3 linked regions of the Cricetulus griseus genome follow. The protein of the gene in region 1 purifies or fractionates together with the protein of each later gene. This does not show direct contact. Links are inferred from orthologs where the notes say so. Each region holds a gene or a part of one and is shown on either strand. Other genes may lie near its edges.

Region 1 (3,649 bases):
GTAAGACCCAGGCTAACCTGGGCTACCTTGAGAAAAAAAAAAAGTTGAGAGGGTGACATTTCGAGGGAAGTTCTAGGGAAGAGGGAGAAGGATAAGTAAACTGGGCATTGTGGCATGTGACTTTAATCCCAGCATGAGGGCAGGGGAGCAGCAGTGAGGCCAGCCAAGGCTATAAAGGAGACCTTGTCTGAGACACACAGGTGCATGCATGCACGCACGCACGCACGCACACACAAGTGAGCACAGGTGCCTGAGGTAGCAAGACCTAGAGTTACAGATGGTCGTAAGCCTCCTGAAATGAATGCTGGGAACCAAATTTCTCCAGTTCCTTGGTTTTACTTTAAGCAACAATACAGATTTCATTTATGCCAAGTGTGGTAAGCACATGCCTTTAATCCCAGCACTCAGGAAGCTAGCTAAGGCTGGGCACACCTTTAATCCCAGCACTCGGGAGGCAGAGGCGGGAGGATCTCTGTGAGTTCGAGACCAGTCTGGTCTACAAAGTTCTAGGACAGCCTCCAAAAGCCACAGAGAAACCCTGTCTGGAAAAACTAAAACCAAAATGAACAAATAAATAAATAAATAAATAAATAAATAAATAAATAAATAAAGCTAGCTAAAGCCCACCAAAATAATCACTTCTTTTTTGTTTTTTTATTACTTCTTTTATAATACCGTTTTATGACTCCTATCATTTTGTAACTAAAATTCCAAAATTAAGTAAAAGTTAGAAGTTATAAACTTCTTTTGTTCACAAGTTTTTGGCTTTGTGGTTTTCTTTCTTTTTTTGGGGGGGGGGCGCGTGAGATTGGTGAGCTTCTCTGTGTAGCCCCAGTTATCTTGGAACACTTGGAGATCCACCTTACTCTACATCCTGAGTCCTGGTTTGCACCACCAAACCACCTGGTTTTTTTTTTTGTTTGTTTGAGACAGGGTCTCACTATGTAGCTCTGGCTGTTTTGGAACTCACTATGTAAACCAAGCAGAACGAAGAGCTCCATCTTCCTCTGCTTTCCATGTGACACCACACCTGGCTTTGCTTTTGGTTTTTTTGAGCGTCTCCCTTTGCATCTTAAGTTGCTGGTATTAAAGCATATACTCCCCCCACCCACCCACCCAAAGTTTCTCCATACAGTCCTGGCACTTTGTAGACTAGGCTGGCCTCTCTACCTCCCAAGTGCTGGGATTAAAGTAGCACACCACCACCACCACCACCACCACCCAGCAAAGGCATGTATTTGTATAATTTCTTCATTGTACTATTTGCACCAAGCAAATATAGCCTAATTAGTAGTTCTCTACATTCAAGCAGCATTTTCAGGTGTGGTCCTCTTCCTCTTAATGGAAAACTGCTAGCTGCTATCTTCACAGCACAGTGCAACCAAATTAGCAGTACTCATACACAACAGGACAGGACACAACAGTAAGTCTCGAATAACTCTAAATATCTCACTCCTTATGCTCCTCAGTAGACTTGAATATCTAGCTAGACAGGTCTATCATAGGATACATTTTTCCATGGCAGCTACTAACATGGCATGTACTAAACTTATTTTTCTCTTGGTATGCGCATGTGGTGTAAAGAACAGAGATCAACATCTTGTGTCATCCTAGAGTTTGCCAGTCCCAACAGACTAAGCCCCAGGAATCCTCCTGTCTCCACCTTCCCAACACTGGGTCACAGACACAAGTGACTATCTGTTCTCTCTCTCTCTCTCTCTCTCTCTCTCTCTCTCTCTCTCTCTCTCTCTCTCTCTCTCTCTCTCTCTCCCCCCTCCCTCCCTCCCTCCCTAAAGCTGTGTGTGTGTGATATGTAGAAGCATAGAGCATGTGTGTTGAGGTCAGAGGACAACTTTGTGGAGCTCTTCCTTTATATAGGTTCCAAAAATGAAACATGAATGAAACATGAGTAATCCGTATTCCTTTTAATATTTATATATTCCAGTCAATCTGAGCCTCCCATACTCTCCATTTCCAGTTCTGCCTCCATACCTGATTTTCTTCAGAGTGCTGATCATATCATCCAGTGCCATGCGGTAAGCACCAATCACCACTGTTGGGTGCATCTGCTGCTCTAGAAAGTGCTCAGCCACAGACAGCATTTCTCCCGCTGCAAAAAGATCACAGGCATCATGGCAATGCATTTGAAAGTAGCAGGAGATGAAGACAACTTAATTTCCTTATGCTTCTAAAAGATACTTCCCTAAAACAGATTCTCACCAAATATGCATTTGGCTGTTAATACTGTTCCAGAATTTATATTTTATAGACATCAATTCATAAAAACATTTATTGGATACATTTTAAATGATCAAAGATTGATCTTAAGGGCTTACCCTTCTCTTTTTTTTAAATCTTTCTAATTAAATATATACTACAATTTTCTAACAAAAATAAAAATACTTTTTCCCCAAGAAAGACAAATACACAGGGCATTTACTAACTCAATACCTTAGGATACAGCCAAACTGCTGGCACTAAAAACAAAGTACAGAAGCTGGGCTCACTAACCCTAGCACCAGGAGGCAGATGCAGGAGGACCAGGAACTCAAGGCCAACCTTGAGATACCTCCTGGCTATTCTTAACAAACCATAACTTATTTCAAGTTATCTTGCCCATGTATCTACTAGCATTTTATTTTTTAGATTTTATGCATGTGCTTTGTATACATATATGTATGTGTACCAAGTCCTGCTTGGTGCTTGGTGCTTAAAAGATGGCATGGGATCCCTGGAACTAGAATTATGGATGGTTGTGAACAAACATGAGTATTGGGAACCAAACCTAGGTCTTCTGCAAGAGCAAGTGAGGCTGGAAATGGTTCCGAGGTCAAGAGCTTTTAACTGCTCTTACAGAGCACCTAACTCAGTTCCCATCACCCAAGTTAGGTGGCTATAAGCAACATGTAACTACAGCTTTGGGAGACCCAAAACCTTCCTCTGACTTCTGTGGGCATCTGTATTCCTGAGAACACATCCTTAACACAGACACACATATTCATGTACATAGTTTAAAATAAAACCTAACCACCCCCCACATGCATATAAAGAGATAAAACAACTCATGTAAACATATCTGTCATAAGAGTTCTATGTAACAAGAGCCTGGCTTAAAAACAAAATACTCTAAGCAAATCAATTCACATGCAATAAAATATGCATTAGTTGATGAAAATGCTGTAGTCAGAAAAAGTTATTAACCTTGTATTGCCTAATTAATAGTTTGGAATTCACTATTTGTTTGTGGTGACTTCACAGAATTTAACAAATTTGCATAGCTCACACCCTAAACATAAAACAGCTCATCCTACTCAAGGGTGCTTTACACTCCATTGCAGAAAATACATAAAAAAATTACCAGCTGGGCAGTGGTGGTGCACACCTTTGATTCCAGCACTCGGGAGGCAGAGGCAGGCGGATCTCTCTGAGTTTGAGACCAGCCCAAATCCCAGGGACCTCTACAATACACTGTATTTCTTTTGTATTTGTATATGGGTATTTTGTCTGAAGGTATATATGGGCACCACATGTGTGCCTGGTACCCAAGGACGCTAGAACAGAGCATCAGATGCCCTGGCACTGGAGTTAGACAGCTCTGAGATGCTGCTGGGATAAAAACCTGGCCCTCTACAAGAGCAGCCAGGGCTTT
Region 2 (3,649 bases), on another chromosome or scaffold:
AGAGTCCCATGGGTGTACCAACCCTTCCTCATATGTAATAAAGCAATTGAGAAGGCAGAGACGGTCTGTTCTGTCATCTGAAGGGATATTGTTCCAGCCCTTTTTAACCCAAGTTCTGGAAGGACTCTGGCTCTGAGCCTTCCAATTTCTTGATCACCTTTAATCCCAGCACTCGGGTACACCTGTGACCCCAGCTGGGTGTAGGTGTGGAGACCCTCATCAAGGCCCTCCATCCTCTTATCTGCCCTATCAATGAGGTCAAGACCAATAGGGGCTGACACCCAGCTGGCCCAGCCTCCGCACCCTTGACGCACATACAAAAGGAAAGCGAGTCCATAAATAGTTATATATTTCCCCAGTGCCTCCAGCCCCACCCAACCAGGAATGAGGGAGCTGGGGTGTGAGCAGAGGGAACGGCATCCAAGTGACCATCCTCAGGCAGGTGACCTGAAGATGCAGGCAGATGGCCTTAGTACACCACCTCATACACAGTGGCCTTCTTGTCCCCTGAGCCTGTCACGATGTATCTATTATTCCTGGAGATGTCGCAGCTCAACACTGAAGAAGACTCTTTGGACTAGGGCAGAGAAAGGAGAGGTGATGTTCAAGCCAGAAGCAGGGTACTTTGGGGGACAGTAAAGGCTGATGGGGGCAAGCATAACAGGTGACTCAGAGAGATGGTACCCAACTTCAGATGGCTTGAGGCCACCGAAGCACACATTTACAGCCACTCTGCTTTCTCTCTTCAAGTCTCATTCTACAAACCAGGCCAGCCTCAAACTAACCATGCTCCTGTCCCAGATCTTCGTCATGTTCCAAGGGGTCAATGGTATCCCAGACATGGGAAGGGTTGATTTAAAGGCATTCCACACCACCTCAGATGTAACAGCACTACTCAGGATTGGAGGTTGGTGGGGAAGATGGGAAACTTGGAAGACAGCTATGTCATGTCCAAAAAAAGGTCCAAGAGACTTGGAAGCCACTATCGAAGCAGAGCCTAGGACTGACCAGGGAGAGAGCTCACCCAGCACACATGAAGCCCTGGCTCTGTCTGCAGCATCACACACCCATCCCATCCTCAGTCCCGCCTCAGCCTCCTATCTAATGAAATGACGGGATGGCAATAATCCATTCTGAAGGAGGGAATGAAAACCCAGCTTGGTCGATTCACTTCTAGGAATATTCAGCCATGAACTGCTGGAGCATGGCTCTGACACTTGCCACAGCATGGACCCCTGGACATCGTGCTCAGTATGCAACCCAAAGTGTGTGGGTCTCAAAGTCCGGAATGCAAAGGCAGCCAACAGCTGGGGAGGAGGGTGGGTACCTGAAAAATGCTGGCCCCGTAGGGTGTCCTCCAGGCATTAAGCAAGTTGTCCTTGCCTGTGCTCACAAACCAGCGTCCTGGGGAGGGGACAGAGAGTTAGAGACAGAGACCAGGACCTCCCAGGGCAGGGGCTCTGCGCCTGAATGCTCTGAAACTCACTCCCCCAGCCTGCTAGTCTGCAATGTCAAAAAGCTGAGAGCTGTCAGTCAAACCCCAGACCACTGGCTTCCTTTGTCAGAGAAGTCATGGATTTGGGGGGAAGGGGGTTGTCTGTGGCAGGAGGATTGCTGTGAGTTTGAAGGCAACCCAGGCTTCCAGGGAATACTCTCTCAATGGCTGAGTCTTTTCATATGGCAGGTAGCATGAGGAAAATTTGGGTTTTTTGTTTTTTGGTTTATTTGGTTGAGACAGTTTTCTCTGTGTAGCTTTGTAGACCAGGCTGGCCTCGAACTCAGAGATCCACCTGCCTCTGCCTCCCAAGTGCTGGAATTAAAAGCATGCGCCACCTGGCAGAAAACTTGTTTTAGCCAGGCAGTGGTGGCACATGCCTTTAGTTCCAGTACTCAGGAGGCAGAGGCAATCGGGTCTCTGTGATTTTAAGACCAGCCTGGTCTACAGAGTGAGTTCCAGGACAGACTCCAAAGCTACAGAGAAACCCTGTCTTGAAAAAAATTATCAGCCGGGCGTTGGTGGTGCATGCCTTTAAACCCAGCACTCGGGAGGCAGAGGCAGGCAGATCTCTGAGTTTGAGGCCAGCCTGGTCTCCAGAGCGAGTGCCAGGATGGGCTCCAAAGCTACACAGAAGAAACCCTGTCTCAAAAAACCAAAAAAAAAAACAAAAAAAAAATTATCTTTGGTGTGTGGAGGTAAGAGGGTCAACATGGAGTGACTTGAGTAGCTTTTTTTGTTTTCCAGGACATGTTTTCTCTGTGTAGACCTAGCTGCACTGGAACTCTGTAGACCAGGCTGGCCTTGAACTCAGAGATCCACCTGCCTCCCAAGTGCTAGGATCAAAGGTGTGGCTACCTCACCTGGTCCATCCTTTTTTTTTTTTTTTTTTTGAGACCTGTGTGTCTGAACTTTTACCTAAACTGGCCTTGATTTCAATAAGCAGCTGCGTGGACAGGCCTGGGTAAATCATTCTAAGGAGCCATTTTGGGGTGCCCCATCCTCCCTCTACTGTCCCTGGGGCCTCCCGGGCCTGTACCACAGGAAGCGAATTTGAGCGATAGCACACAGCTCTCGTGCAGACGCAGCTGGTACTTCTCAGGCTTTCCAACGTGCAGGACTTCCACGTGACTGCTCTCCATCCCAACGGCCAGCCAGTCCTGGTTGGGACAGTGACCCAGCGAGAAAATCTAGGGCAAGAGAAAGCACCGAGATCTAGGAGTGCCCCACGTCTCCCATGGGGACAAAAAGGTGGCCGGTAATAGGTGTCACACCCTAAGTCTAAAATCTAAGGCACAAACACAGGGAACTGCAGAATTCTAGGCAGAGGAAGCTACACAGGTGGCTCAGCCTGGGATCCAAGTCCTGCTTCTGAGTAATTGGGAGACTGCATTGAGTGAGTCACTCTTTGCTGCGGGTATTACTTTGGATTTCTGAGACAGTCACACTGTGCAGTTCTGGCCATCCTGGAACCACCCGGTGCTGGGGTTAAAGACCTGTGCCATCAGGCCTTGTGTTTGAGGCAGGATCTCTCACTGAACCTGGAGCTCACCTATTCAGCTAACATGGCCCTCCAGCCAGCCCCGGGGGTTCCCAAGTCTCCACATGCGGGGGGGGGGGATGGGGGGATGGGGGAAGCGGGGTTAAAGACAGTTTTTTATGGGGATTATGGGGAATTGAACTCAAGTCCTCAAGCTAGCTAGGCAAACGCTTTACCCACCCAGCCGGCTCAGGAGGCCCCTGGTCCTATCCTATCCCGGGCCAAGGAGAGGCACCCTGAGGGGGAGGCCAGGACTGCGGGTGCACCTGGGAACTGAAGTCATGCTGCTGAAGTTGACGGCCCTCACGCAGGTCCCAGCAGCGCACAGTGTTGTCCAAGCCCCCAGTCCACAGCCGGGTCCCGTAGTCCGATATGTCTATGCAGCTAGCCCCATCTGTGTGGCCCTGGAATTGCCTGTGGGTGGAGGGCAGGCGTCCACATCCACCCGTGCATCCCCCACCCCAACCCGGGCCGCCCTACACACCTGACCATGGCCTGGTTCTGCAGATCCCAGACCACGATGTTACCGTCGCTGCAGCAGGAGAAGCAGACCTTAGCGTCGGGGCTGACAGCCAGCGCATAGCAGGCCGGGGCGGATGAGGTCAGCTCAGCCT
Region 3 (3,749 bases), on another chromosome or scaffold:
TTAAAGGTGTGCGCCACCAACGCCCGGCCCAAATTTCTTGATAAGTATTATTTTGTCGTTGCTGGATGGTGGTGGGACACAGCTTTAATCACCAGTACTCTGGAGGCAGGAGCAGGTGGATCTCTGAGTTTAAGACAAGCATGGTCCACAGAGCAAGTTCCAGGACAGCCGTACTACACAGTGAATCCCTGTCTCAAAAAACCAAGAATAAATAAAAATAGAAGCATGCACAGTAGACTTGTTCACACAGGTGAACATGACCAAAAGATAGTTGCTAAATGTATACCATTGACCCTCAAGGATTCCAGTGTCTGTGTTAACATCACTTTCGTTAAATACTGTACTTTATGGGCTGGAGAGATGGTACAACCCTGGAGAGCCCTGGCTGTTCTTGGAGAGACCCGGGTTGGATTCCAGGCTCTCACACGGTGTCTCACAACCATCTGTAACTCTGCCTCTTCTGACCTCTGTGGGCACCTGTACACATGTGGTACACTTACAAACACTCAGGCACACACAAATACACATATTTTTAAACTGTGTTTGATTATATTGCCTAACAATTCGATACAACCTCTTTCAATATCATTGAAAGCATTTAAATTTTTATAACGATGTATCTAGATCCAGGCTTTTGTACATTTCAAATTCATGGCACATAGACTTTTAAGGTTGGGTTAGCATTTGGCTTTTGAACACCCCCGGAGCGAGGAAGGAAATCAATCCTAGAATTCGGGAGTCTTTCTAGTGTCTATAGGACAGCGCAGGAAAGCCTCGATCAAGCTGACCTGGCCCTGAATGTCTCTCTCGGGCCTGTAAGAAAACTGTTTAAAGTGGCCTTGGGCCTGGAGAGGGTCCCAGTTTGGCACAGGCTGCAGGACCGCCGGATTTAGTGCCATGCAATAAACGCAGGAGTCTTCCATTAAGGTAATTTGACACGTTACTTGAAGCGGAGAGAGACATTCAGAACAGCAGCAACAGTGGAAAAGTGACAGGCTTCACTCTTAGGACCCTTGGCCTAGAACTTGAAGGCGCGCAGAAGGGTACACTTGCCCCCAGGCCACCCACGCCCCCATTCACCCGCACTGCGCCGTTATCCGTCTGACTGACATCTTGGCTAGCCAATGATCTTTGGGACTTTAAAAGAGCCCGCCTCTTGGAGTTGGGCGGGGCGAATCAGCAGAATGACAAACATTTCCGCCAATGGTGAGGAGGACGCGGGTTGCTAAGGCTGTATTGACCAATAAGAAGAAAGAACAGTTTGGAAAGGACATACCCGGCAGCCAACGCTCGTCGTCGCTACGGAATCGCGTGGCTTCCGTTCCGAGAGGGCGGGCCGGCATCGCAAACGGAAGGTGGTAGTCGCTGCCGGAGCTTGTTTGAAACTGGTGGTCGGGCCGGGCGGAGTGTGTGTGTAGCGGAGGACCCGCCGGAGGGCTAGGCCGTTCCTGAGCGCCCCGGTCCCGCCGCCTCTCGGACCCGCTGACCCCAGCCGGGCTCCCCGCCCGTCCCGTGCCCCAGCCCGCCGCCTCTCCGGCCGGCTCTGCGGCCCAGCCGCCACCATGTCCCTGCACGGCAAACGGAAGGAGATCTACAAATATGAAGCGCCCTGGACTGTCTACGCCATGAACTGGAGCGTGCGGCCCGACAAGCGCTTTCGCCTGGCGCTGGGCAGCTTCGTGGAGGAGTACAACAACAAGGTGCGTCGTGCAGAGGCTCGGCTTCTCCTGGCGGGGAGTGCTCGAGGTGGGCGGCAGCCCCAGATCCCGCAGCTGCCCCGCCAACTTGCCTTCATAGCAAGGGGGAGGTTCCTCCGTGTGGCCCTGCTGGTGAGGGTGTTAACTTTGACAGCCGGGGAAACTGAGGACAGTGTCGTGGCATGCCTGGGACGTAGTGTTTTGTTTTGGTTTTTTTGTTTTGTTTTGTTTTGTTTTGGTGGCAGTAGCGGGTTTCAAACCGGAGTTGAAGCCTCGTCCTGTGCCGCCTCTCCCATCTCCCCCACTTCTGCCGCAGTGCTTCTGTTGCTAGGCGGGGGGCGGGAGAGAGGCAGTGGAGGAAGATGCGGGCGCTTGGATTGGTGGTCGTGCATTCCTGGCCACGCGAGATTTCTGTTAGGGCTATTTATTGCAAGATCTTCCCCATCTCAGGTATTTCTCATGGATACAGAGCCCTAATGCTAGGTTGTCATTGGTCATTGGTTTTGCTTCCCGATGTCCACCCCCCACACACACACCCAGTCTATCCTTGGAAACCTTGGTCTGTAGCATTATCCCGCCATTATTTCTGAATAGAGGAAGATGACATCTGACCTTTTCTTTTCGTGGTTCCTTTCACGTTGATTTGCAGCATTGCTGGACATCCGTCACTCCATCAAAACGCTGGTACAGGAGAGAGCTCTTAAGCTAATACTTCGGGATATAGTTTTGAAAGTGTTGAGAAGAATCCCCCCCCATCTCTTGACTTAATTCTTTTGGTTTAATTAGAGTTTAAAAAGGAAAAAGAAAAAAAAAAAAGAATGACAAGAGATCAGAGCTACTGCAAGCTTTGACCAGTGGTGTTTAAAGCCAGTACTCTGCTTCCTCCTGGGATCATCAGACTGCAGACAAGTGACCAGATGTTAGGAGGAGTGAAGAAGTAGGTGGTCTAGGATTTCGCTAGACCACCTTGCATAGACCAATTTTATTATTTCTAGCCCACAGTGATACAGGAAAGGGATTCGGTTTTAAATGTGAAGATTCAGGTGAAAAGGTTTGAACATTTTATGTTTGTAGTATTTTAGGAGCGCATGTGTTTCTCTGGGTAAGGGTCCTCATTTCTTTCGTCCTCTTTGAGAAATGGGTGAAAGGGATTGTCTTTCATTGCCAATACTTCACACATACACAGTAGTTTACAGTCCCAGAGAGTATGCACTGATCACCCCGTTCCTAAACAAGAACCTATTTCTTTTCTCTGATGGCTCTTTCTCCCACAGTGGCAGGAAAACTGGGGCTGCCTTTCAGGGTCCAGGTGTGGGTAGTGTTAGTAAGTTTAAGACCACTAGAAAAAAGCTGTTGTTTAAGAATTTGTGTAAGAAATAAATGTAAAATGTGTCCATCAAAGGACCATAGTTGTTTTTTTTTTTTTCACACACACACAAATTAATTTTTTTTCCCTTTAAATTCTTCCAGAGTCTTTTATCTAAAAGAGGAGACATTGACTACCTGCAGAGGCCAGAAGAGGGTGTCACAGTCCCCCAGAGCTGGAGTTACAGGCTGTTGTAAGCCACCCAGTGTGAGTGCTGGGAACCGAACTAAGTCCTCTGCATGAGCAGTGAATGATCTTGTCTCCAGCACCTCGATTTAAAACTATGAACATGCCCAATGCCTTCTGAGGAGCAAATATGTAATATAAAGTAACCCTCAAGCTGGGCCTGGTGGCTTTTATTTGTAATTCCAGCACTTGAAAGGTTGAGGAAGGAGGATTTTTGTAATTTTGAGGTTAGTCTGGGCTACATAGTGAGCTCCCAACCAATCTGAGTTACAAAGTAAGACCTTATCTCAAACAAAAAAATAAAATCTGACTCAGAAACGTGCTCTTTACTTTCATCATTTCTGTGAATAATGCACATTATATGTTATTCATATCTTGTGGCATTATTGTTTTTGAGGCACAGTCTCATGTAATCCAAGCAGACTTTGAACTCCTTATCTACCTGCCTCCACCTCCCAAGTGCAGGAAATTATCTATAGATGTCACCATGTCCAGCTACC

Evidence for each region.
Region 2: the proteins of Cct3 (region 1) and Tle2 purify together in Homo sapiens (affinity purification with mass spectrometry; 3 studies listed by BioGRID and IntAct, with this or other methods). This does not show direct contact. The link is inferred for Cricetulus griseus from reciprocal best matches to the Homo sapiens genes CCT3 and TLE2.
Region 3: the proteins of Cct3 (region 1) and Dcaf7 purify together in Homo sapiens (affinity purification with mass spectrometry; 4 studies listed by BioGRID and IntAct, counting the BioPlex papers as one, with this or other methods). This does not show direct contact. The link is inferred for Cricetulus griseus from reciprocal best matches to the Homo sapiens genes CCT3 and DCAF7.

What each region holds. Positions count from the first base shown.
Region 1 is NW_023276806.1:66,186,854-66,190,502, forward strand, and holds part of Cct3 (T-complex protein 1 subunit gamma), read right to left. Parts: intron 2,111-3,649; coding exon 1,993-2,110; intron 1-1,992. UniProt on the Homo sapiens protein: Component of the chaperonin-containing T-complex (TRiC), a molecular chaperone complex that assists the folding of actin, tubulin and other proteins upon ATP hydrolysis.
Region 2 is NC_048598.1:102,337,634-102,341,282, reverse strand, and holds the end of Tle2 (transducin-like enhancer protein 2), read right to left. Parts: coding exon 3,520-3,649; intron 3,450-3,519; coding exon 3,302-3,449; intron 2,686-3,301; coding exon 2,535-2,685; intron 1,405-2,534; coding exon 1,328-1,404; intron 578-1,327; coding exon 470-577; 3' UTR 333-469; downstream 1-332.
Region 3 is NC_048600.1:118,968,199-118,971,947, forward strand, and holds the start of Dcaf7 (DDB1- and CUL4-associated factor 7), read left to right. Parts: upstream 1-1,339; 5' UTR 1,340-1,562; coding exon 1,563-1,700; intron 1,701-3,749. UniProt on the Homo sapiens protein: Involved in craniofacial development. Acts upstream of the EDN1 pathway and is required for formation of the upper jaw equivalent, the palatoquadrate. The activity required for EDN1 pathway function differs between the first and second arches.